3 linked regions of the Macaca mulatta genome follow. The protein of the gene in region 3 purifies or fractionates together with the protein of the main gene of each other region. This does not show direct contact. Links are inferred from orthologs where the notes say so. Each region holds a gene or a part of one and is shown on either strand. Other genes may lie near its edges. The genes, in order: STAT5A, WWOX and ERBB4.

What was found.
Region 1: the proteins of ERBB4 (region 3) and STAT5A purify together in Homo sapiens (affinity purification with western blotting; 3 studies listed by BioGRID, with this or other methods). This does not show direct contact. The link is inferred for Macaca mulatta from reciprocal best matches to the Homo sapiens genes ERBB4 and STAT5A.
Region 2: the proteins of ERBB4 (region 3) and WWOX purify together in Homo sapiens (affinity purification with western blotting; 4 studies listed by BioGRID). This does not show direct contact. The link is inferred for Macaca mulatta from reciprocal best matches to the Homo sapiens genes ERBB4 and WWOX.

What each region holds. Positions count from the first base shown.
Region 1 is NC_133421.1:66,625,235-66,635,911, reverse strand, and holds the start of STAT5A (signal transducer and activator of transcription 5A), read right to left. Parts: upstream 5,243-10,677; 5' UTR 4,709-5,242; exon of another isoform or gene 4,550-4,708; intron 4,206-4,549; exon of another isoform or gene 3,927-4,205; 5' UTR 3,917-3,926; coding exon 3,789-3,916; coding exon of another isoform or gene 3,714-3,788; intron 3,489-3,713; coding exon of another isoform or gene 3,463-3,488; coding exon 3,306-3,462; intron 3,305-3,305; exon of another isoform or gene 3,185-3,304; intron 1,554-3,184; exon of another isoform or gene 1,443-1,553; coding exon of another isoform or gene 1,377-1,442; coding exon 1,287-1,376; intron 1-1,286. UniProt on the Homo sapiens protein: Carries out a dual function: signal transduction and activation of transcription. Mediates cellular responses to the cytokine KITLG/SCF and other growth factors. Mediates cellular responses to ERBB4.
Region 2 is NC_133425.1:73,834,560-73,844,503, reverse strand, and holds part of WWOX (WW domain-containing oxidoreductase), read right to left. Parts: intron 3,813-9,944; coding exon 3,627-3,812; intron 1-3,626. UniProt on the Homo sapiens protein: Putative oxidoreductase. Acts as a tumor suppressor and plays a role in apoptosis. Required for normal bone development. May function synergistically with p53/TP53 to control genotoxic stress-induced cell death.
Region 3 is NC_133417.1:117,705,181-117,709,459, forward strand, and holds the start of ERBB4 (receptor tyrosine-protein kinase erbB-4), read right to left. Parts: upstream 2,801-4,279; 5' UTR 2,161-2,800; coding exon 2,079-2,160; intron 1-2,078. UniProt on the Homo sapiens protein: Tyrosine-protein kinase that plays an essential role as cell surface receptor for neuregulins and EGF family members and regulates development of the heart, the central nervous system and the mammary gland, gene transcription, cell proliferation, differentiation, migration and apoptosis.

The sequences.
Region 1 (10,677 bases), on a different chromosome or scaffold from region 3:
ATTGCAGATGGTAGAGCACTGTGCCATTGTCCGTGTAGATGCCCAGTGCTCTTATTATTTCAGAACTGCGGAGATGCGTCCCCGTTACCCCTCCCAGGGCCTCACTTCTCTGAGCCTGCCTGTGTTAGTTCTTCTGACATGGATAGGTAGGATTGCTATCTCCATTTTACAAGAGTAGGAACAGGCCGGGCATGGTGGCTTACACCTGTAATCTCAGCACTTTGGGAAGCTGAGGCGGGTGGATCACGAGGTCAGGAGTTCAAGGCCAGCCTGGCCAACATGGTGAAATCTTGTCTCTACTAAAAGTACAAAAAAAATTAGCTGGGCATGGTGGTGGGCACCTGTAATCCCAGCTACTCGGGAGGCTGAGGCAAGATAATTGCTTGAACTTGGGAGGCGGAGGTTGCAGTGAGCAGAGATCGTGTCACTGCACTCCAGCCTAGGCAACAGAGCAAGACTCCGTCTCAGGGGAAAAAAAAACAGTAGGGGCCGAGCACAGTGGCTCACACCTGTAATCCCACTACTTTGGGAGGCCAAGGCGGGTGGATCACGAGGTCAGGAGATCGAAACCATCCTGGCTAACACAGTGAAACCCCATGTCTACTAACAATACAAAAAATTAACTGGGCATGGTGGTGGGCGCCTGTAGCCCCAGCTACTCGGGAGGCTGAGGCAGAAGAATGGCATGAACCTGGAAGGCGGAGCTTGCAGTGAGCCGAGATCCAGCCTGGGTGACAGAGCAAGACTCTGTGTCAAAAAGACAAGAAAGAAAGAAAGAAAGAAAGAAAGAAAGGAAAGAAAGAAAGAAGGAAGGAAGGAAGGAAGGAAGGAAGGAAGGAAGGAAGGAAGGAAGGAAGGAAGGAAGGAAGGAAGGAAAGAAAGAAAGAAAGAAAGAAAGAAAGAAAGAAAAGAAGGAAAGAAAAGAAGGAAAGAAAAGAAGGAAAGAAAAGAAGGAAAGAAAAGGAAAGAAAGAAGGAAAGAAAGAAAGAAAGAAAGAAAGAGAAAGAGAGAGAGACAGAGAAAGAAAGACAGTAGGAACAGAAGCTCAGAGAGATTAAGCAACTTGCTCAAGTCACACAGCTAGTTAAGTGGTAGAGCCAGGGACTGGACCTAGGGGGTCACTCCACCCTGGCGTGCAATGCTGCCACCTCTCACACTTGCCCACGTCCCTCATCTTCTTGGTGCTCTCCTCGTGCTGCTGTTTTCTATAAACACAGTTGTTTCTGGAGAGAAAGGCATATGGAAGGACTTCTCAACACCCCTCCCCATCCCCAAGGGACACTCACATTGTTGGCTTCTCGGACGAGCCTCTGTTCATTGTACAGAATGTGCCGGATGCAGCGGACTAGCTCCATGGGGCAGCGGTCATACGTGTTCTGAAAGAATCCAACAGCAGCCTCCAGCAGCCAACCTCTGCTCCAGCCATGCCAGTCCCATGCCATGCCCAGCCCTTCCTCTCCTTCAGCCTCTGCCTCAGCTTTTCCCAGAAAGCCTCCCAGACACCTCTATCTTTCTGTTCCTCATCCTCATCTTCCCCTCCAACATCTTCATATCTGGTTTGGAGTGAATTAAAAACCCACAGTTTATGAAGCACTTTCCCCTTTTTTTTTTTTTTTTGAGACGGAGTTTTGCTCTTGTTGCCCAGGCTAAAGGTGCAATGGTGTGATCTCAGTTCACCGCAACCTCTGCCTCCTGGGTTCAAGCGATTCTCCTGCCTCAGCCTCCCAAGTAGCTGGGATTACAAGCATGCACCACCATGCCAGATAATTTTGTATTTTAGTAGAGGCGGGGTTTCTCCACATTGGTCAGGCTGAACTCCCGACCTCAGGTGGCCCACCTGCCTCGGCCTCCCAAAGTGCTGGGATTACAGGCGTGAGCCACCGCGCCTGGTCTTATGAAGCACTTTCAATGTACCATCTCTTTTGACTCTAACACAGGGGTCCCCAACCCCTGGGCCATGGACTGGTACAGGTCCGTGGCCTGTTAGGAACTAGACCACACAGCAGGAGGTGAGTGGCAGTGAGCAAACAAATGACGCTTCATCTGATTTACAGCTGCTCCCTATTGCTCGCATTACAGCCTTAACTCCACTTCCTGTCAGATCAGCAGTGGCACTGGATTCCCATAGGAATGCTAACCCTATCGTGAACTGCGTGTGCGAGGGATCTAGGTTATGCACTTCTTATGAGAATCTAATGCCTGATGATCTGTCACTGTCTCCCACCACCCCCAGATGGGACTGTCTAGTTGCAGGAAAACAAGCTCAGGGCTCCCACTGATCCAACATTGTGGTAAGTTGTATAATTATTTCATTACATAATACAATGTAATAATAATAGAAATAAAGTGCACAATAAATGTAATGCCCTTGAATCATCCCAAAACCACCTCCCTGCCCAATCCCGGTCCATGGAAAAATTGTCTTCCATGAAACCGGTCTCTGGTGCCAAAAAGTGGTGGGGGACCACTGCACTAACAGCATGGAAACCCTAGGACATAAGCAGAAACTATAATCCCCATTTCGCAGATGAGAAAACTGATACTGAGAGACATTATGTACTTGTCCAGATGCAACCAAGTGAGAAAGCAGATGACTCCAGACTCAGGACATCTGATGCCAAGGTCAAGGTACTTCCCACCACCCTGCCCCTGGCCTCCTATGTTGGTTCCCCTCAGGTTTCTCCTGTTTTTCCCTCCTCTGGGATGAACCTGTATTTCCCTGGCACCCCGCTGTCTGTATTGAAGGGCTGTCTAGGAAACATAAGTGAGTTCCCATAAATGCTTGACTGTGATCACTACCCACACCCCTTTCCTGCTTCCACAAAAACTCCCTCTCTTCCTCCACACCCCTACTCCTCAAGTAAAGAAGAAGCTACATCTTATTTCTAAACCCTCAATTCAAAGCCCTTGTGTCCAGCTCTTGTCTCTGGGACAGCTCCTCTCTCACCTTGAAAAAAGCCCAAGAGGGAGGTCTGGTTGCCTCATTTCTAGAGTGCTGGTCTTCCCTTCTCCAACCCAGGAATCCTGACTCAGTCTCCCTCCATCCCTTCTGCTGCTTCCACAAGGCCAGTTCACCCATCTCCCTCTGTTGGCAACAAACACCTCCCACCCTTGCTTTGCAATATGCTAAAGAAATCTGACAGGTCTAATTTAGAAAGAGGGGGTGGGGGAAATCAAAGAAAACTTCCCAATAAGTTTGTGGTCACATGGTGAGTCAGTGGCCAGGCCAGGAAAAAACCCAGGGGTTCTGATGCTGGAACAAGATGATGCTGCCTCCCCGTAGGTGGCCCAGAGCCCACACCCACCTGGAGCTGCGTGGCGTAGTGCCCCAGCTTGATCTTCAGTAAAAACCCATCTTCCCCGACCTGGTGCTCCGCCTTCTTCTGCAGCTCCTGCACCAGGCCCTCCAGGAGCTGGGTGGCTTGGGCTCTGTCCTGGGGATTGTCCAAGTCAATGGCATCCCTTGGGGCGGGGCAGGAGAGAAAAATCTACTGTGGCACCTCCTTGGGCAAGGAGGTCAGAGACCCAGAATAAAGTGGAGACCCCAGGCTCATGACCGAGGGCACTCCAGGGCCCACAAGACTTGTTCCCAGCAGCTCCACAGACATCCGAGTCTAAAACCATTCTCTGTCCTCCCAGGCTTCCCCTTTCACAGGGACACCACCCCTTCCGCACAGAGAAGGACAGGCAGGACCAGAGTCACACCAAACCACCATGAGTAGAACTAGAGGCCAAAGGGCCTGGATGGTAGGGACCCTCTGAGGAGGGGCAGGGCGGGACGTGCCTACCATGGCTGGCTCTCAATCCACTGGGCCAAGTAGTGCCGGACCTCGATGGGGAAGTGCTGGCCGTACAGCACCTGCATCTGGCGCAGCGCATCTCCCTGCAGCTGCTGGGCCTGGATCCAGCCTGCCATGGCCGTTCACCTAGGGCGAGCCGAGCGCTGAAGTGCTCTCCTCTCCAGAGGCCAAGGAACCGGGCCTGCCCCTGGCCCTGCCATGCCTACCTATCCCTGGACCGCGGTCAGGCCAGGCCCCTCCCTTCCCACAGACAGCTTTCTTGTTCGGGAACAGAGATGGAGGGCAGCCCATCCCCTCCAACGAGGAACCCGTTGAAGGGGAGGAGAAGGTGCTCTGCAGAAGCAGGTGCCCTCCCCGTCTTCCTCTCCCCTTGCCCCACCGGAGCTTCCCCAGTGGGGGGTACGGCTAGAAAATGAAAGAGAAACTTGAAGGCGGGAGGCCCACAGGCCCTCTGGAGAGGGCTGCAAGGATCCCCCCAGCCTGCCTCGGGCCCAGTTTCTGGGAAGGGGAGATACTCCAACCCAAAGTTAGGCCAGCGCCGACAGCTCCCACTCGAAGGCTAGGGCTTTTCGGGCACGTGGCTGGGGCTGTTCAGGAGAGAGGGCTGGGGACTTGGGCGCTCCCCTTTTCAGCTGCTCCCCCAGTTGTGCACTAGTGTCTCCCCGGGTCCAGCCCGACAGTGCTCCCTCTACGATGCGTGCCAGGACAGCGCCCTCCCTGGCCACTGCCCTTCATCCCCGACCCCTGTCCCTCCTCCCTTGTCTGCGCTGTGCCAACTCCCTCGCGGTGCCCGGGACTGATCCCCGCGCTGCGCCCGGCCGTCGGGCTCCGGGTGTCGGAGGTGCCGGGGCGGCAGTCGAGTGTCCCCTCTCCGCGCGCCGCCCAGGACGCGCCACCGGGCCACCCACCTGGTGGGGCCGCGCCGTCTGGCAGCCGGGCCGGCTCTGCGCCCCGCGGCTCTCGCTCCCGGTCGGGGCTCCTTGCGGCGGCGGCAGCGGCGGCTGTTACTACAGGAAGGAGCGGAGAGCAGCGATTTCCTCCTCAAAGGTCAGCTGCCTGCGATAGACCATACACAGCGCGCGAGCCCGCGCCAGCACCCCTCCCAGCCCCGCTCGCTCCCTCCCTGCCTCCGCCCTCGGTCGCCGGCTCCCCTGCGAGTGCGCAACAGCGGCTGCCGTTCCGGCGGGCTGCAAGGCGGGGCGGCGCCGGGCGTGGGGGCTGCCCCGACGGCGGGGTCCCCCGGGAGTCCCAGCCGGCCCTCGGCTGCGGCTCCGAGGCAGCGTCCCGGAACCGGGGCGGGTCAGAATAGCCGGGGGAATGTGGTTGGTAGGGGGCGCTGGGAAATCCCGGGCTCTGGAAATCCCAAACCTGGGCCTCAGTTTTCTCATCCGCAAAAAGGGAGGAGGGAAGGGTGGACCAATTGGCGATGCCTTCCAGCTCTGACGAGTGTCATCTTTTGAGCCCCTAGATTAAAAAACAAATGTGTGGGGTGTGTGCGTACACGCGCGTGTGTGCGCGTGTGTGTCTTGGGGGCCACAGGTTTTGTGACCTCAGAGGCAAAACTGTAGGGAGGGGAAGGACTGGGGATTCTAGAGAAGCCCACCACCGCAGCACCTCCCTCCTTCTTTTACTCCCGCCATCTAAACTCAACCCTGACGGAGGAACTGGAAAGAACCTTGGCAGTCATGTGTTTCAGCCCTCCCCCTCTCCATAATTTGCAGGTAAGAAGTGGAAGTCCAGAGAGGGGAAGGGGCTTGCCCAGGGCCACCCAGGGCCACACAGTGGGCGCGTGACCTCACCAGCCGACTGTGATCCATAAACTAGCTAAAGCCCCCGTTCACCCAGCCTAGTTATTTATGAGGCTGGTTCTACCTTCAGAAAAGTCCAGGAAGGGACCGTCTTGAGTCCTCCCAACTTCGAAACTGCCTACAGGCCTTGCCACAGCAGTGAACATCCTGTCTACAGCCTCAGTCCCCCTCTCCAAGGGGCCCCTTCCCACGAGGCCCAAGGGGTTTGGTAAGGTCGGGCTGGACGCCTTCCATCCCCTTTGCCCAGCTTCCCTCTCCTCTGGGCCTCCCCTCTGCCTGGCAGCGGGTTGGCAGCACCAGAGGAGGGGCCAGCCCAGCTGCCCACTCACAGCACAGCTGAGCCAAGACTTCATGTCCTGGGCTGGGGGTGGGGGGCGGGTGCATCTCATCTGCCTCCCTCCCCATCTGCTTCTCAGAGCTGCCCTTTTCTCTCCATTCCCACTCTCCCTTCTTGCCCCTTACTACCTCTCCCGGTTTCATTCTTTTAACTTCAGAGGAAAAAAAAAGAACTTTAAAGCTGCAGAAGCCAAAATGTCTGGGTTCTCCCCACCTTCCCTGTGTGGTCACAGTGTCTTCGTTGGCAGGATCACGAGGAAAGGAATTGAAAACTCTAAGGGGGTGCATGGAGGATGTAGGGAAGCCTTGCTTCCCAGATACTCTGCAGGGGGCCCCAGGGAGGAGGAAGTATAGCCCCTCTCCTCTCCTTTCCCACTCTGAGCAATGGATTTGGCAGGGGAGGGTCAGACACAGAGCTAGGGGGTCACCTGGAATGGAAGCCAAGTGCCACAGCTGGAAATGACCATAAAGATGATTTACAAGTGGAAAAACAAAGGCCAGAGGGGGGAAGTGACTTCGCCACTGTCATGCAGCCTGTTGGTGGCTGGATACAAACCCATTGCCACATTTGGGTGGGTCCCACTTGGCACCTGTGCCCTCCAGCAGTTCCCTTCAGGCAGGTGTGGAAGTCAGTTGATGGGAGCAGATTCCTCAGGTTTTCAAGTCCTCTCGGCCAGGTCTGGAGGGCAGAGGGCCACCCTTGCCATGCACTGACATCTGGGCACCTGACGGGGTGGGGGTGCCTGCTTAAGAGAGGGGGTCCTGCCTGCTCTCTTCCAGGCAGCCGCCTCTCTAGACTCCTCCTCCAGGGCCTGCAGAGGCCTGTTGCTCCAGCAGGCAGCCCTACCCACCAAACATCTGTCTTGGTTGGGCTGGGCTTGGCTTTAGTGTGGGTAGTCCTAGGTCCTAAAAAGCTAGCATTGAGATGCCAGAGAACAGAACGGGAAGGATGGGCCTAAAAGGGTGTGTGGCTGTGTTTTCAGAGCCCTCCTATGCCACCCACCCCCTGACCCTGTGCCCAGTGGCTGTGCCCTTGTTTGACAGTCTCCTCATTTGGTTTCTGACTATAAGGCCCCAAATATCTGTGTATTTCATTGCATATTTCCCCCTCTGGCAATTTTTTTTTTTTTTTTTTTTTTTGAGATAGAGTTTTACTCTTGTTGCCCAGGCTGGAGTGCAATGGCTCGATCTCGGCTCACAGCAACCTCAGCCTCCCAGGTTCAAGTGATTCTCCTGCCTCAGCCTCCCGAGTAGCTGGGATTACAGGCATATGCCACCGCTTCTGGCTAATTTTGTATTTTTAATTTTGTATTTTTAGTAGAGGCAGGGTATCTCCATGTTGGTCAGGCTGGTCTTGAACTCCCAACCTCAGGTGACCCGCCCGCCTCGGCCTCCCAAAGTGCTGGGATTACAGACATCAGCTACTGCGCCCAGCCCCTCCTCTGGCTTTTATTCTCTCTGTGTCTCTCCCTGTCTCATTAGGTCTCCATCTCGTTCTCTGATTCTGTCTAAGTTTCTCTCCATTTCTTTGTGCCTGTTCTCCCTTTGAGATGCAGTGGGGAGGAGGAGGAGCTGCGGAACTTTCCCAGGATGGGCAAGGGGCACCCAAGGGAGTAGAGGGAAGGGTGTCAGAGTTGGGTTAGGGGAAGAGGTGACTGTAGTCGTGGCTCGAGATAACACAACTACCTGAAAATGTCAAATTTGGGGTTTCTTTTTGCTTTCAGTCCCCTGGTTTGGCCTCTGCGATTTCCCACCACAAAGTACCCTGGTGGTTCTGGGGAACCAGACTGTAGAGGAGAAAACTGAGGCCATGGGATGGGGGTTCAGGAAGATCAGAAACTGTCGAGGGTCTTACTGAGCTGGGGTCCGAGGCTGGCCTCCTTGCCCCTAATTGCTCTTCACCCCCAAATCCAAGTCACAGCATTAGATGGGGAGTGAGGAAGGATTTTAGAAATCTTACAGAAATATATTCCCCAGGCTGGGTGCAGTGGCTCACTCCTATAATCCCAGCGCTTTGGGAGGCCAAGGTGGGAGGATCACTTGAGGCCAGGAGTTTGAGACCAGTCTGACCAACATGGTGAAACCTCGTCTCTACTAAAGATATAAAACAATTAGCTGAGCGTGGTGTCACGCACCTGTAATCCCAGCTACTTGGGAGGCCGAGGCACAAGAATCTCTTGAACCCGGGAGGCGGAGGTTGCAGTGAGCTGAGATTGCGCCCCTGCACTCCAGCTTGGGCAACAGAGTGAGACTCCGTCTCAAAAAAAAGAAAAGAAAAAAGAAAAAAAAAAAAAGAAATATATTCTCCAAAAGAAGACCTCCTATATTTTATTAGGAATAATAATAGTCTGCAGCCTAGGCTGCAGTTGGCACACTATATTCGTATCCTGAACTACATTGAGGCGCATTTGTGTACAAACATGGTTGTGCTCTTCAACTCAATGGATCCTTTCAATAACCTTGAAGGCAGTCAGAGCCAGAATCACACCCTTTGATTAGTCCATGAAAGAAACCTGCCCAAAGCTGTTTGGCCAGTAAGTGCACATATGGCACCAGGATCCAAGTTGCCGGGCCTTGTTAGCAGGGTCTCAGTATAACCTTTCTAGGGTTCCCCAAGCCCGGCACACACCAGGAGAGTGAAGAGGCCTCCCTGGGCTGGGCTAGCCCACCACTGTTCTGTGGTGTGGAGCATAGCACCTCCATTCTCACCCAGCCTACACCTCTGCTCTATTGAGTGGGACAGTGTGCTCTGTGCACACTTACATGAAGGTGGGTTTGAGTTTATGGATTAAGAGAATTATCCCAAAGGGCCAGGCGCGGTGGCTCACGCCTGTAGTCCCAGCGCTTTGGGAGGCTGAGGCAGGTGCATCACCTGAGGTCAGGAGTTCAAGACCAGCCTGGCCAACATGGTGAAACCCCTTCTGAACTAAAAATCCAAAAATTAGCTGGGCGTGGTGGCGCATGCCTGTAATCCCAGCTACTTGGGAGGCTGAGGCAAGAGAATCGCTCGAACCAGGAAGGTGGAGGTTGCAGTTAGCTGAGATTGCGCCATTGCACTCCAGCCTGGACAACAAGAGTGAAACTCCATCTCAAAAAAGAAAAAGAGAGAATTATCCCAGGTCCCCTTTCTACCTTGCCCTTGGCGATCAGGTCTGCCCATGCCCCTACCCTGGGGAGAACAGACTGAGGTCACCTTGACCTGACCTTCCTTGGGGGTGGAGGGAGGTGTACAGAGATGCCTTTGTTTCCTGTGCTCCAAGTCCCTTCTTCAAGGAGAGTTCCTGTTACATGGGAGCCAGAGGGGAGGTGGGGTGGGGGTGAACAGCCTTCCCAAGAAAGCTGGAGGCTTTCTAGGAAGTATCTCTTTGCCCTGCGGCAGAGGGGGAGAAGCTCTGGAGCACTTAAACATCCGCTTCACCCCCACCTTGCCTCTGCTTGGACAGTCTACCTGCACGCCAGCCCCTCCGGAGAAGGCTTCTAGAAGTGGGGCCATGGGCCCATGCTCAGAGTACGCCCCACCTCTGAGGCCAGGCCCTGGGACCTCCCTGTAGAAATGCCACCCCTGTTCTTGTCCATGAAGACAGAGCAGGACCTAGGGAGGGTGTGTGTTTATATGAACAGGGTGAGGAATTCTTGCACATTTGGGGGAAGGGAAGGAGCTGCTGGAGTTCGGGTGAAGCCCGTTCCTGCAGCTGTCCCCTATCCACCACTCTTCAGGGAAGTCGCCTTACAATGAAGTCACCAAGAGAACACAGGCCATCCTGCCTGAGGCATAGTGACTGTCCTCTGTTTCTGGGAATAGCGTGAGGGGAAGGGTGTGGGGCTGGACAGGGTGGGTAGGAGGGGAGTCCTGCCTCCTCTGCCCAGCTGCCCAGCCTGCCTGCCTGGGGGAGAGGCTTGTAGGCCGGTTTCTTTCTGGACAAAGAGAAGAGGATGCAGAGTCTGTGCCAGGTTCACATTTCCCAGCCAGTCAGGTGGGCAGGAGGAGCCCACTCTTTGCAGCCCCCTCATCGCAGGGCCAGGCCCAGGATCCTGGAGAGACGAGAGAGGGCACACAGAGCCAGGCAGCTGAGTGGAATTGGCAGTGTCCTGGACGGCCCTGGGTCAAACCTGGCTTCTCATCCTCATCCATGATGACTATCAGGCCTCTCTTCCCGCTGAGCTAGTTTCTCCTCCTTACAGCCCAACAAGAAATCTTTTGTGCCTCGGCCGGCCCAGGACCCGATCTCAAGCCCTCTGAGGGTTGTGTGCGAGGGGGCTGAGCATCTTCCACGACACCTTCCAGTATACTGCCACTTTCCTTTGTTATGACTGGAAGGGATTCCTTTCTGTACAATCTGTTTCTCATTGTTTCTTCGTTTCTTTAGTCTCAGATCTACCCACATCTTCCTTGCTCCAAGCCTCAAAAAAGTGCTTCAGCCAGGCCGTTCCCCTTACACTGGCCTCTCAACTCTAAGCACTAGCCCCTTTCATTCCATCTACCTGGAATGTCATTCCTCCCTTGGCCACCTGGTAAAATTGGCCTCATCTTTCCTAGGGTTAGTGTGGCCTAGAGGAAAACACAAAGGCTTTGGAGTCATAAGGTCCTGGTGCAGACCCTGGCTCTGCTGTAGGATCTTGAATGAGTGAGTCTGCCTCTTGGATCTAAGCGTCCTCCACTTGTAAAGAAATAGCAAGACCCGCTGCTGGGATTTCTGTTAAGACCCAGTCACAGGCCGGGCGCAGTGGCTCAT
Region 2 (9,944 bases), on a different chromosome or scaffold from region 3:
ACTGACAAAGCCAAACAATTATGTCTTAACAGAATTTTCCCTTACTAGTACATTAAGATATTGACATTTGCTCTGTGGACAGTAACACTTGCTTTGTAAGGGGACCCCCCCGCCCACTTTTTTTTTTTTTAATACTTTAAGTTCTAGGGTACATGTGCATAACGTGCAGGTTTGTTACATATGTATACTTGTGCCATGTTGGTGTATGCCGAGTTGGGCTGCACCCATCAACTCGTCAGCACCCATCAACTCGTCATTTACATCAGGTATAACTCCCAATGCAATCCCTCCCCCCTCCCCCCTCCCCATGATAGGCCCCGGTGTGTGATGTTCCCCTTCCCAAGTCCAAGTGATCTCATTGTTCAGTTCCCACCTATGAGTGAGAACATGCGGTGTTTGGTTTTCTGTTCTTGTGATAGTTTGCTAAGAATGATGGTTTCCAGCTGCATCCATGTCCCTACAAAAGAGGCCCCCACCCCACCCCCGCCCACTCTTGTATATACACCGTGGGGGTTTTGCTTTTTGGGGTTTTTTTTTTTTTTTTTTTTTTGAGACAGGATCTTGCTCTGTCACCTAGGCTGATGACAATCTCCCTCCACTGGTGCAATCTGCACTGATACAATCTCCACTCACTGCAGTCTCCATCTCTCAGGTTCAAGCAATTCTTCTGCCTCAGCCTCCCAAATAGCTGGGATTATAGGCGTCCACCACCACAACTGGCTAATTTTTGTATTTTTAGTAGAGATGGGGTTTCGCCATGCTGGCCAGGCTGATCTCAAACTCCAGAGTGCTGGGATTACAGGTATCAGCCACTGTGCCTGGCCTATACTGCATTTTTTTAACTAATAATTTTTAATTTTTATTTTAGAGATGGAGTCTCACTCTGTCACCCAGGCTGGAGTGCAGTGGTACGATCAAAGCTTACTGCAACCTCAAACTCCCAGCCTCAAGCCATCCTCCCACCTCACCCTCTTACTAGATGGGATTATAGGCATGTGCCACCAAGCCCAATTTTATTGAGGATTTTTTTAATTCCCGCCTAAAATAATTAGGCTGGATTCTATCTACACGGAAGCTCAGAAACTCCGTGTGTGTGTGTGTGTGTGTGTGTGTGTGTGTGTGTGTGTGTGTTTGTGTGTATGTATGTGTGTCACTGCGTGATTTTGTGTGTGGGGTGGGAGAGGGCAATTTGGCACTCGATCCAGCTGCAGCCATTGAGGGTTGTTCAACCAGCACTCTGCCCTTTTCATTCTACTTTAACTGTTATCTGAAATTTTTTCACAGCAAGGAAGTCAACTTCTCATTTCACTATGATGTATTCTAGGTACGCAGAAACTCAATTCAGTTGCTCGGATTCCAGATGAGTAACTAAAACACAGTGAAGACACAGGAAGGCTAATAAGTATTTTGCCTTGGGGCAGTCTAGTATAATATTTTCTGCAAACATAGGACTTTATTTTTTCCCCTAACAGGGGGTCTTGACTCCAACGAAGAGATTCTGCCAAGGTTTATGGAGGTAATTAGATATCAACACTTGCATTTTACAGCATGGTTTAGGGCCCTGGGTTCTTGGGTAGTGAGCGAAGTGTTTTCACGTACCGCCTGTGCACCAAGTCACCACGCTCGCTCATGGGAGCCAAGGGATGCAATGCAAAGGTAATACACAAGCCAGCCTGGGGAAATTGCCATTTTGTTAAAACACCTTTAAATAATGTGCAAAGAAGCCGGGCGCGGTGGCTCATGCCTGATAATCACAGCACTTTGGGAAGCCAAGGTGGGCGAATCACAAGGTCAAGAGATCGAGACCATCCTGGCCAACATGGTGAAACCCTGTCTCTACTAAAAATACAAAAATTAGCTGGGCGTGGTGGTGGATGCCTGTAGTCCCAGCTACTCAGAAGGTTGAGGCAGGAGAATCGCTTAAACCTGGGAGTCAGAGGTTGCAGTGAGCTGGGATCGCGCCACTGCACTCCAGCCTGGCAACAGAGCGAGACTCTCTCTCAAAAAATAATAGTAATTACAACAATGTGCGAAGAATAATTGGAAAGCAGAAAACTAGTGCCAGCCATCAGACAGGAGTGAACACGACAACACATCTCAGGAAGGCCTCCCTACAAACTAAGATAGGTCTAATTCAAGAGTCCAAGTCCCTTCCTTTCAAATTAATCTTTTAAATGAAGCTAAGATTCGGATCTCCAAAGTAGGCATGAATTACACTGTAGTTAAGGAGAGAACAAAGACATCACACAAAATACCACTTCAGATACAGATTTACAAAGGAGAGTGAGCAGCTGACAATTCAACATAATCTCCCATTAAATACCAGCTCATTTAAACATATCCCGTGGTGCCCTCCACATCTGGTGGATGACTGGGGCTGGCAGATTTATTTCTGGAGCTCTCTCTGCTGCCTGCCCCCACAGTAGCCTCCCTCGCCCCTTAACAGGGCCACTCCACTTTCTTTCACAAACCTGGTGTGATTTGCAAAGATAAGGCTGTCCAGATTTTGTTACCACCTAATTACTGGATGTTTCATGTCTTTTAACACGGGGGAGGATTATTACTGGCATTTTCCTTTCATTTCAGCCATCATAAATTTAAAGTGGCAAAAGTAAATCTATCTGCAGTGTGTCACTTACACCATAAGCCCCTGTGTTTGGGAGTGATAAAGGTTTCAAGCTAACCCTTGGCTGGTCTATCTCTTCCAAGTCCCAGGGGTTACATTTTATGGAAGTATGATTAAAAAAGTAAGCTTCATTCTGGGTCACTAAAACATTTCAGGACTTAAGACGGAGAAGAAGGAAGAAAAAAATGCGCCCCTTTCACATTATTTCTTTTTCTAGCTACTCTGCTAAGAGTGTAAACTCCCCCCCAAAAACACACACCAAGCAAACGTGAAAGAGAGATCTCCCTAACACATATTAAATCCAGCCTCATCCAGCAAGGCCTTTGTCTTTTCGGAATATTTCTCTCTAGACAAATAGTTGTTTATCCAACTCTAGAAACAAATCTGCTGAAAATACGATGAAATTTTCAAATGTCTTTTTCAGTCAATTGAATATTCTCCTAATGGCAATAGGAAAAAAGTGCCATCTGATGTTTTAATTGAAATTTTAACCAAAAGAGGCATGGCCAGATTTCTAATATGCTCTAACTACAGTACTTCCCTTTCCACAATTACACAGCTAATGTCTGTATCGAATTCCCTAATTTCTCATTATAAAACAATTGGATTTCATCTCGCAGGCTTTAATTGCATTGTTTCTCCTGCTAGAGTAACTGCACATTCTTCTTGGTAAGATGTTGAAGTTGTTGAATTACAAATCAATAAAGGTCACGCCATTCAGATTTCATCAATTATTATTCCATCTCTAAGCAAAATCGATGAGGAGCTTGAAGTACAGTCATAAAAACAATCTTCGTTGCTCTAGACAGTCCTTCTCAACAGTCCCCTACAATCACACACACACACAAAAAAGACCTGGAAAAATTAAGTAAGCCAAGTTGAGTCCACCCACATGTCTCAAGTAGGACTAATGAAAATTATTTTCAGAATGAGAGCCTTGGGGGAATATTAGCTGGTATGAGAAAGGGGGTAAGTGAACAAATATGCAATTCAAACCCACCGATGGGACTCTGAGGAGACCACAATGACACGGGCAGGAGCTGAGCGGCACAAAACATCCTGGAGGAGCTGGACAAGGTAGAAGTGCCCCAGATGATTCACTTGAAAGGTGGTCTCCAGGCCGTCTTTGGTGAGACTCCAGGGTAAAGCAAAAGCTGCTGCGTTGCACACAAGCACATGAAGAGGCCTGAAAAATAAAATATTCCACATGATGTGAACATAAACACTACAACCAAGCATAATCAATGCTCCTTCAGGAATGAGAAATTCTTTCTCCGTCTTCTAGATTCCAACCATTTAGAAATAGGATACCCTAGAATGTCGCATGGCTTTGAGTGGGCAACTGTCCTTTGTTGCTGAGAATGAGAGGCTTTTTAGGACACAGGACTTTCAGTGCGAAAACCAGGACAGTGACAGCCAATCCGGGAAGAGTTGTCACCCTAGCTGGAACTCAGATTCAACCACCTGATTAACTCCGTCTTTCTTAATTCATCCAAGTCTCATTTTGTCTGTAAATAAAAATAGCCCTTAAAATAGTTATGAGTAATAAAGGAGAAATTATGCTGTTAGAAAGGCTGGCATAGGGCCGGGCATGGGGGCTCACACCTGCAATCCCAGCACTTTGGGAGGCCGAGGCGGGTGGATCATTTAAGGTCAGGAGTTTGAGACCAGCCTGACCAACATGGTGAAACCCCATCTCTATCAAAATACAAAAAAAAAATTAGCCAGGTGTGGTGGTGCATGTCTGTAATCCCAGCTACTCGGGAGGCTGAGGCAGGAGAATCGCTTGAACCCGTGAGGCAGAGGTTGCAGGGAGCTGAGATCATGCCACTGCACTCCAGCCTGACCAACAGAGCATGACTCTTATCTCAACAAATTAACAAACAAACAAACAAAGAAAAAACAAAACAACTGACACAGGACCCAGGACTTGGTAGGTGCTAAGCAAGCATAGCAAGGGGGTAAATGCTCTGTCTAAAGAGAAGGTACATACTGTTTAAAGATACAGAATTTCTTGTGGAGATCAGATTAAATGAATATTTTATAAAGAAGCCTAGAGATAGGTAAGTAGAAGCCTGTCATAATATTCTCTCTTATTTTGTATATATTTAATCTTTTTTTTTTTTTTTTCTGACAAGATCTTGCTCTGTCATCCAGGCTGGAGTGTAGTGGTGTGGTCGTAACTCACTGCAGTCTCAAACTCCCAGGCTCAGACGATCTTAGCCTCCTGAGTTACTGGGACTACAGGGGCACACCACCATGCATGGCTACTTTATTTCTTTTTTATTTTTGTAGAGACGGACTCCCGCTATGTTGCCCAGGGTGATCTTGAGTTCCTGGTCTCAAGCAATCCTCCTGCCTAGGCCTCACAAACATAATAAAACTGTTAACGATAAAAGTAATCCTTTCATGTGAATCAAAAAGCTAAATTCTCAAAAAGTAAATATATACTGGTGAAAAATCATAATGTACCAATAAGAATTGTACAACAAAATATACACAAGGCTATTCACCATGTTTGTGATAAACTAAGGCAGCAAACTAGAAGTAAACTAAATACACCATTGAGGAATTATTACATTTAGAATATACCCACATGATAGAACACTATGCAGCCATTAAAATCACAAACAAATCTACTGACCTTATAAAACACGTTATAAAATAAAATTTAATGTATTTTATTATCAGACACAGACACACACAGAAACAGAGAAAGAGAGAGAAAGAGATAGAAACGTTATGAAAGATATATAAAAATAAGGGCGGGCGCGATGGCTCACGCCTGTAATCTCAGCATTTTGGGAGACTGAGGCAGGCAAATCATGAGGTCAGGAGTTCGAGAGCAGCCTAACCACATGGTGAAACCTCGTCTCTACTAAAAATAAAAAAATTAGCCCAGTGTGGTGGCACGCGCCTATAATCCCAGCTACTTGGGAGGCCAAGGCAGGAGAATTGCTTGAACCCAGGAGGCAGAGGTTGTAGTGAGCTGAGATCATGCCACTGCACTCCAGCCTGGGGAACAGATAGAGACTACATCTCAAAGAAAGAAAAAAAAAATATATATATATATATATAGAGAGAGAGAGAGAGAGAAATCTGGGCACAGTGGCTCACCTCTGAAATTCCAGCACTTTGGGAGGCTGAGACAGGATAATCACTTGAGCCAGTATTCAAAACTAGCCTGAGCAACACAGCAAGACCCCATCTCAACAACCACCACCAGAACATTAGCCAGGTGTGGTGGCGTGTGCCTGTACTCCCACCTACTTGGAAGGCTGAGATAGATAGGAGGATTACTTGAGCCCAGGAATTCAAGGCTGCATTGAGCTATGATCATACCACTGCATGCATTAGAGCAAAACTCTGTCTCCAAATTAAAAAAAAAGAAAGACAGTTTTCACATCGCAGCCTAAGAGTTACAAGTTTTTAAAAAACGAACACTGGCATGCAATAAAGGGAAACATAAAGAAAAATCTTTATAGAAATTAAATATTCTGCTCTCTAAAAAAGTAAAACAAAAGTGAAAAATATAAGCAATCATTTAGAGGCCGCATATTTTTACTATATAAACAGTTCTTACATATCTATGAGAGAACCACGCGTCTTCTAAGAGTCTAACAGAAACAGTGACATTAGAAATTTTATAAAACTAGATTACAAATAACCAGTGCAATACTTAACACCTCCAACTACACTAGTAAACATTAAAATATTTTCTATCAAATTAGCATATGTATTCATACTATTATATTTGTATTACCTTGTATAAAGTTGGGGGGTTGCACCCTGGATATTAAGCTGAAAACATGTATCATGAGAATTGAAAGGTTCATATTATTTCACCAAGTAATCCTGTTTCCAAGCAGTAAAGCATGTATGTAGCAGGGGCAGCAGAAATGGCACAGTTAATATCACTAGGGAGAAGTATTTTATCACTGATAATGTTTAGAACTGTCAGCACATGATTGTAAAAAGCAGATCAACTTTTAGCTATCTTTGCTGTTGTTTTTCCATTCTATACAAAATGCTTCCCCATTTTGCGTGCACCTGGGGCAGACCATTCCCATGGCTACCTCCCATCCTTTTGATATGCCACTGCTTCTATAGTGGGTTGAATGGTACCTCCCACCCCATTGCTTCCATAGTGGGTTGGGTTGAATGGTAGCGATCTGTGAATGTGACTTTATCTGGAAAAAGAGTCTTTGCAAGTGTGATTAAGCCCACATCTTGAAACAAGATCATCTTGGATTAAGGTGGGCCTTAAATCCAATGACATGACTATCCTTACAAAAAAGGAGAAGTGGAGAAGGAACACCCACAGAGAAGGAGATGGAAAGATGTAGAGACTAGAGTGACTTAGACACAAGCCAAGAAATTCCAAGGACGGCTGGCAGTCACAAGAAGCTAGGAGGCAGGCACGGAACAGATGCTCCTTCGAGCCTCTAGAAGGAACCAACACTGTAGACCACTTGATTTCAGATGTTTGGTCTCTGAAACTGTAAGAGACTAAAATTCTGTTGTTTCAAGCCACTCAATCTGTGTTAATTTGTTATAATAGTTTTAGAAAACTAATATAGCTTCCAAAATTCTTTCCTAATATTCAAACTTCATATAAAAGCTTATGCCCAAGAATGCATGATACATCAACTAAAATTATAAAATTCTATATGAACTAGAAACAACCTAACATCCAGCAAGAGGAGTAGATAAACAATGATTAAGCCAAAGATTCCTAAACTTTCTCAATTTAATTGAAAAAGTAGGAAATTAAATTTTATATGTGTGATTCATACCCCATACCCCCCAAAAAGAATTTCCAGATATCCAGTCAGGATTACTTTTTTTCTATTTCCTGTTTATGATTTTGGGTATTTTCCAACTTTTCTACAATAAGCATAAACTAATTAAAGAACTTTACTGAAATATAATTCACATACCAAAAAATCTATGTATGTACACTGTACAACTGTTTCAGTATACTCAAATAATTGTATAACCATAACTACATTCTAATTGTATGGCACTTTAACTCAAAAAAAAAAAAAAAAAACCCATTAGCAATCACTAGCCACCCTCTACCCACCTACATACACTCTTATCCCCAAAACACCATTAATCTACTTTCTGTCCTATAGATTCACCTATTCTGAACATTGTATATACTAAATGGAACCATAAAATGCATAGTCTTTTGTGACTGGCTTCTGTTACTTGGCATGATGTTTGCAAGGTTCATCCATGTTGTAGCATATATCAATATTTCATTTCTTTTTAATGGGCAGATAATATTCCATTATATGAATATACTGCGCTTTGTTTACCCATTCACCAATGATGGATATTTGGATTGTTTCCATTTATTGGCTACTAGGAATATCACTGCTATGTACATTCATTTGTAAAGTGCTGTGGAAATGCATGTTTTCTTTTCTCTTGAGAATACGTCTAGGAGTGGGATGGCTGGGTCATATGGTAACCTAATGTTTAACTTTTTGAACAATGGCCAAACTGTTTTCCAGTGTGGCCGTACAATTTTACATTTCCACCAGGACTGTATTTGAACTTTCATCTCTCCATGTCTTCCTAAGTATTTGTTATCTGACTTTTTAATTTTAGCCATCCTACTAAGAAGTGGAATCTCATGGTGGCTTTCATTTGCATTTCCCTAATGACTCATGACGTTGAACATCATTTTATGTATTCATTGGCAATTTGTGTATCACATTTGGAGGAATATCTATTTAGATTTTATGCTTATTTTTTAACTGAGTTTTTATTATTGAGTTGTGAAAGCTCTTTATTCTAGATATAAATCCCTTATTAGATATTTAATTTGTAAATGTTTCCCCCATTCTGTAGATCATCTGTATACTTTCTTGATGGTATCGTTTGTAGCACAAACACTTTTGATTCTGGATCAAACCCAATTTATCTTTTTTTTTCTTTTGTCACTTGTGCTGTCGGGGTTATATCTAAGAAATAATTGTCTAAGTCAACATCACAAAAATATACTACCATATTTGCTTCTAAGAGCTGTACAGTTTTAGCTCTTAAGTCTCTGACCCATTTTTATTTATTTATTTATTTATTTTGCTATTTTTTTCTGTGTAGTTTATGCAAGTGTGATCTAACCTCATTCTTTTGCATGGGGACGCCCAGTGGTTCTAGCATCACTGTTGAAAAGACTATTTTGAATTGTCTTGGCATCCTTGCTGAAAATCAATTTACCATATACATGGATTCATCTGGACTCTCAATTCTATTTTATTACCTATAGATCTATTCTTCTGCTAGTATGACACTGTCTTTATTACTAAAGATTTATGGAAAGTTTTGAAATTGATAAATGGAGGGCCTTCAATGCTATTCTTTTTCAAGCTTGTTTTGGTTCTTCAGGTTCCTTTGCATTCATATATAAAATGTAGGATCAGCTTTTCAATTTCTGCAAAAAAGTCAACTGAAATTTTAATAGAGATTGCACTAAATTTGTAGATAATTTGGAGAGTTTGGTCAGCTATACAATATTAAATCTTCTGATCCATGAACATGGGATGCCTTCATTGCTAGTATATAGAAATACAATTGACTCAGGCATATTAAACTTTTATCCTACATTTATCCTGGCTGAACTTGTTAGTTTTAATATTTTTTAAGTGTATTTCTAGGATTTTCTACAGATAAGGTGACTTCATTTGCAAATAAACACAGTTTTACTTCTTTCCAATCTGGATTTTTTTTTTCAGTCTTCTGCTTTTTTGTTTTTTTGCCCAATTGCCCTAGCTAGGACTTCTAGCAGAATATTAAATGAAAGTGGTGAGAGTCAATATCCTTGTCTTATTTCTTGATCTTAAGGGAACAGTACTCAATCTTTCAGCATTAAGTATGATGTCAGTTGTGGTTTTTTTGCAGATGCCCTTTATTGAGTTGAGAAAATGCCACTTTGATGCAAGTTTACTAAAAGTTTTCATCAAGACAGAGTGTTGGACCTTTTTAAAATGTGTTTTTATGTGTTTTTATTATACCATATACTATAATGGTATTGACTGATTTTTTAATGTAAAACCAACCTTGAATTCTTTGGATAAATCCCAGTTAGTCATAATGTACAATTCTTTATATATGTGGCTGAATTTGGCTTGCTAGCATTTTGTACAAAATTGTTGTATCTCTATTCATAAGAGAAAGTGATCTAAAGTTTCCTTTTTCTGTGATATCTTCGTCTGGTTCTGTTGTCAGAGTAATAGTGGTTTCACAGAGTCAGTTAGAAACTGTTTCCTCCTCTTCTATTTTTTAAAAGAGTTTGTGGAGAATTGGT
Region 3 (4,279 bases):
TTAGTATGCGTGTTGCAATTATACCAGGGATGCACCCGAGAGTTTTTCTTTGTACGGCCCTTTCATCTGGATCACTTTGTGTTTTGAACAAGTGAGACTCGCCTTTGTGCCCCCAGAATTTCAAGTACAGAGTCACACACGGAACAATGGCACGCTAATCCTCGCGCTCTAAATGGGCTCACTTGTGGGTCTGACAATTCGCCCAACGAAACGAGAAGAGATGAGCGAGGGCGCGAGCTGGTGTCGCCTGAGACGAGGAAGAGGACAGCTGCAGAACTAATTTGGATTACATTCCTTGCAGAAATTCTGAAAAGGGCTTTTCGGCATAGCTCAACCCGGAGCCGCACAGTTAATACCAAATTGCTGCGGACTCGGAGCGGGGTCCCTCAGCGGCAGAGGCTGAACCAGCCAGCCCCCAGTAGGTCGCCTCGTAGAAATTCCTCTCGGCTAAGCCTGCATGTCGGTCGCCACTGCCTTTGAATGGGTCAATGTGTATAATCAACCCATTGAGGGAAAATATGAAGGGACTCGAAGTGGGGAGGGAGATAAAAAGAGATGTATCTAAGAGGCCGCTTGGAATGTCAAGTCCGTGTTGGTGTGATTCCGGGGGTGGCTGGAGCGCGGGACCTGGTATGCGTGAAGAATTTCGGAGTAATTGGGAGGGTGCAAACAGCCAGCACAAAACGCCGCACATGTGCCATTCGAAGGTCATTTTGAAAGCCTCGATGATTGTAACTTGTTGTTTACTAGGCAAAGGAGGCGGCGGCGGCGGGGGCGGAGCGGGAAAACTACAGCTTGCTGTTTCCTTGGTGAGGTCAGAAGGACACCCTCCGGGGGCCTAAAGCGCTCCCTATCGCCACTCCCGGGGGCTTTATCACCTCAAGCTACTTCCCACGCTCCAGTCACCATCCCCGAATGGTTTCAGAAATCTCCCTGGCTCTCCAAAAGGCACCCCTTGGCCGCATCAGACACCGGTCCTCCTCAGACCTCTCCCGTCCCACTTTCATCCCCAGGAAACTCAAGTGTCAGAAACTTTGAGCTTCCTTGCACTGCAGGTGCTGTCATTAGTCCTGCAAGCCTTGGCGCTCCAACCCCGCCGCGCTGCCTCTCGGGGTCAATTAGCCCTTTGCCTGCCCAGGTACCTGGGGCTCGAGCTCTCCAGCAAGCAGTGGCCGCGCACCCGCCGCCGCCGCTTGCGCCTCGGGTGGATCCAGTGACCCGCAGGCTCGGCAGCCCGGCCAGGCAGTAAACAGACAAGTTTGAAGGACTCCGGCCAATAGCAAGTTGAACTACAGGAAGAACTCTTCCAGGAGCCAAACACGGCAACCGACGGGAAGGCCCGGCTTCTGGCTCGAGTGTGCCAAGCCTTTTTTTTTTTTTTTTAAGAGGTCATGCAGGCGAGCAAGCGCCCCTCAAGTCAATGGGGCGAGGGCTCCGGGAAGCAGGCCGAAGAGGCCCAGAGCTCCAGACCCCGGACCGAGGCGCGCCCGCCCGCTGCACTCTTGCTGCCCGGGCTGGGTACGAGTCGCGTCTGACCCCACAAGGCTTGGGCGACTGGGGGCGCAGCGGCCGCCGGCAGCACACACAGGTGCAAAGCCCGGGTCTCTGAGCGCCACTCTCCACCGCCCTTCAGGCTTGGCGCGGGAGAGGCCCAGCCAGCACCTCCCCAGGACCCCGGCCCTCCGCGGCCCCGGCGGTGAGGGTTCCTCCCTCGAGGGACCAGACAGGGACAGGAGAGTCTCCTCTGACTGGGGATTTGGGTCTCCCATGTCCCGAACAACAGGCGCCACCAGAAGGGATCCCGCTTAGGCTCCCACACAAAACGCTCGGGAAAGAAAAACAGGGGGTTAAGGAGAGAAAAAAGAGGGGCTCAGAGTGATTTCTTCACGATAAAGCACAGGCACACATACAGGGTAAGTTTCAAATGGAAAGAGGGGCGACCGAGAGCCCAGGGAAGAAGTCCCGGTCGAGCGGTCCCTCCACGCCTCCCGGGATGGGTGAAGAGGGCGGGGGAGCCACTCAAGGCAGCCCCGCCGGCGGCGGCAGGTTAGGCGACCGGAGCGCCAGAAGGAACCCACCTGACTGAGAATCGCTGGGCTGGACGGTCCCCGCCGCCACGAGAAGGCTCACCCAGACCCAAAGTCCTGTCGCCGGCTTCATTTTTTGGAAGTCTCAGATCCCGTGCTGACAATTACATGTCCAAATGGCATATCCCCCTTTCGGGCACGCGGAGGAGATCCCCCAGCCGGGCGCGCGTGGGGGCGCGAGGGGGGCGGGCGCGGCGCGCGCGGTGTAGCGACTCCCAGGGCGGGCGACCTAGTCCGCGCCCGCGGGTCCAGGGCCGGGGCCCGAAGAGGGGGCGAGTGTGCGTGTGTTGGAGTGTGCTCGGTGTGTGCGCGTGGCGGTCCGGGCCGAACTGTGCAGTTATTTCCCCGCGTGAGCCTTCGCTTGCTCGCTGCCTCCTCACTTTCTCTCTCTCTCACTGGTTGGTCAACAATAAAAAAGGAAGGGGGGCGAAAGGTTTCCAAAAAAAGTTGATTGCAAAGAGGCAGTAGGTTTCCGGCCTCTCCCCGCAGCCGGGCTGTGTTCTGCTCCTTCTTCAGTTTCCTTGCACCTCCAGTCCAAATGGGGAGGGGAGCGGGGCGGGGGGAGCTTCTCGCTTCTCCCCGGATCCCGTCCTTCTTTTTCCTGTCAGCTTTCCTCACACTTGTCCGGCGGCTGCGGTAATTAAAGCTCCGAGCGTCATTTCCAACGCTCCGCGGTCTCCAGCTGCAGCCCACAGAGAAATTAATAAGACTCCAGAAAAAAAAAAAAAAAAGAAAAAAAAAAGGTGGGGGGGGCGGTGGGAATAAAACAACCCTCCACGCAACCAGGCAGGCTCTGCTCAGCCGCGCAAACCCCGCCCATGCTCTGACCCAACTAGCCACGCCCTTCTCCCCCGCCCCCCGCCCCAAAGGGAAATCTCATTGGCTCAGCCACTCCCCAAAATCCTAGGCCTCCGGAGTTGGGAAAACACCTGTCAGGGAGAGGGAGCAGCTTGGTGGGGGCAGGGGAAGCTGGATTTAAAGGGCTCACCGAAGCCATGCACTGAAGCACTCCTCTTCCCTCCCTGGCAGAGGCCTGGGACAGCTGGCCCGCAGAGTGGACAGACCATCGGAGGGGCGCTTACAGAAAAGATTTTTTAAAAAAACAAGTCAGCATTTTCTCCATTGTCCCACGGTGCTTATCTACAGACAGGACTTTCCCTAGAAATAAAAGAAAAGTCAACGTTGCTTTCAGCAAAAAGCCTCCGCCCGCAGCACTCTGCCACTCATGGTCCACAATTAGAAAGTACTTTAAAAGTGTGCACAGTAAGTAACTAGTAGCCCCTGAGGATTAGGTGGTGGTAGGGATATAATCACCGCCCCGCCTCCCGCCCCCAGTTATGCCATCTCTCCGGTTATTCCCACATTTCCAAACTGACCGACATTGAGCCAAACTAAAATTTCACATTTATAAAGCCATACCCTTTGATTTTTAGATTTTATGTTTTTTTCACCTTTGGAGTTCATTCTTATTAAGCAGATTCTAGTCCAAAGCCACTGATTTAATCTTAAAGGGCTAGAAATTGTCTCAACCTGAAAGTATTTAAGGAGGCCACATCAGAACATAATTAACCTTAAATGATTCTGCTTCTTCTACAGTAGACCCAGCTTTAGGCCCTTTCCTTGTCCTCACTCTGCACATTCATGGTCCCTAATCCGGAGGTCATTGCTAGTTATGAAAATCTCTGACCTTTTCTGAATCTAAAATATTCTGGGACTGGGTCATATCAATGTTCATATCCCTTGCCTTTTACAGCTCTGAAACCGCACCCTGGCAAGGACCAGAATCTCCTGGGGGTAGTAAGTTATTAGTTACTATTTGTACAGGCATTCTATGTATGAATCACTTTCCTTTTTTGGTTTTTCTAGAAGCAGCAAATATATAAATAAAAAGTATCAGGGGAGCTTAAAAATCAAACCACCCTGCCTTTCATTTGAGACCTGGATCTCCATTTCCCACTCTCTTATCTATAGCTCCATCCCTTAAGAATTTCCATGGAGCTGAGAACAGATAGGAAATACAGATGCCTGAAGCCTGAAGCTTTCCCTTTCTTAGACCCACAGCAAATAACAGGCTCCATGAAGACGCCAAACAAGCTGAGCATGCGGTTTTAGCAGAAGCAGCCTAGGGCAGGAAGGAACTAGAGCAGATGACAGTGACTTGACCATAATGGTACTGATTGCAGCAGAACTGT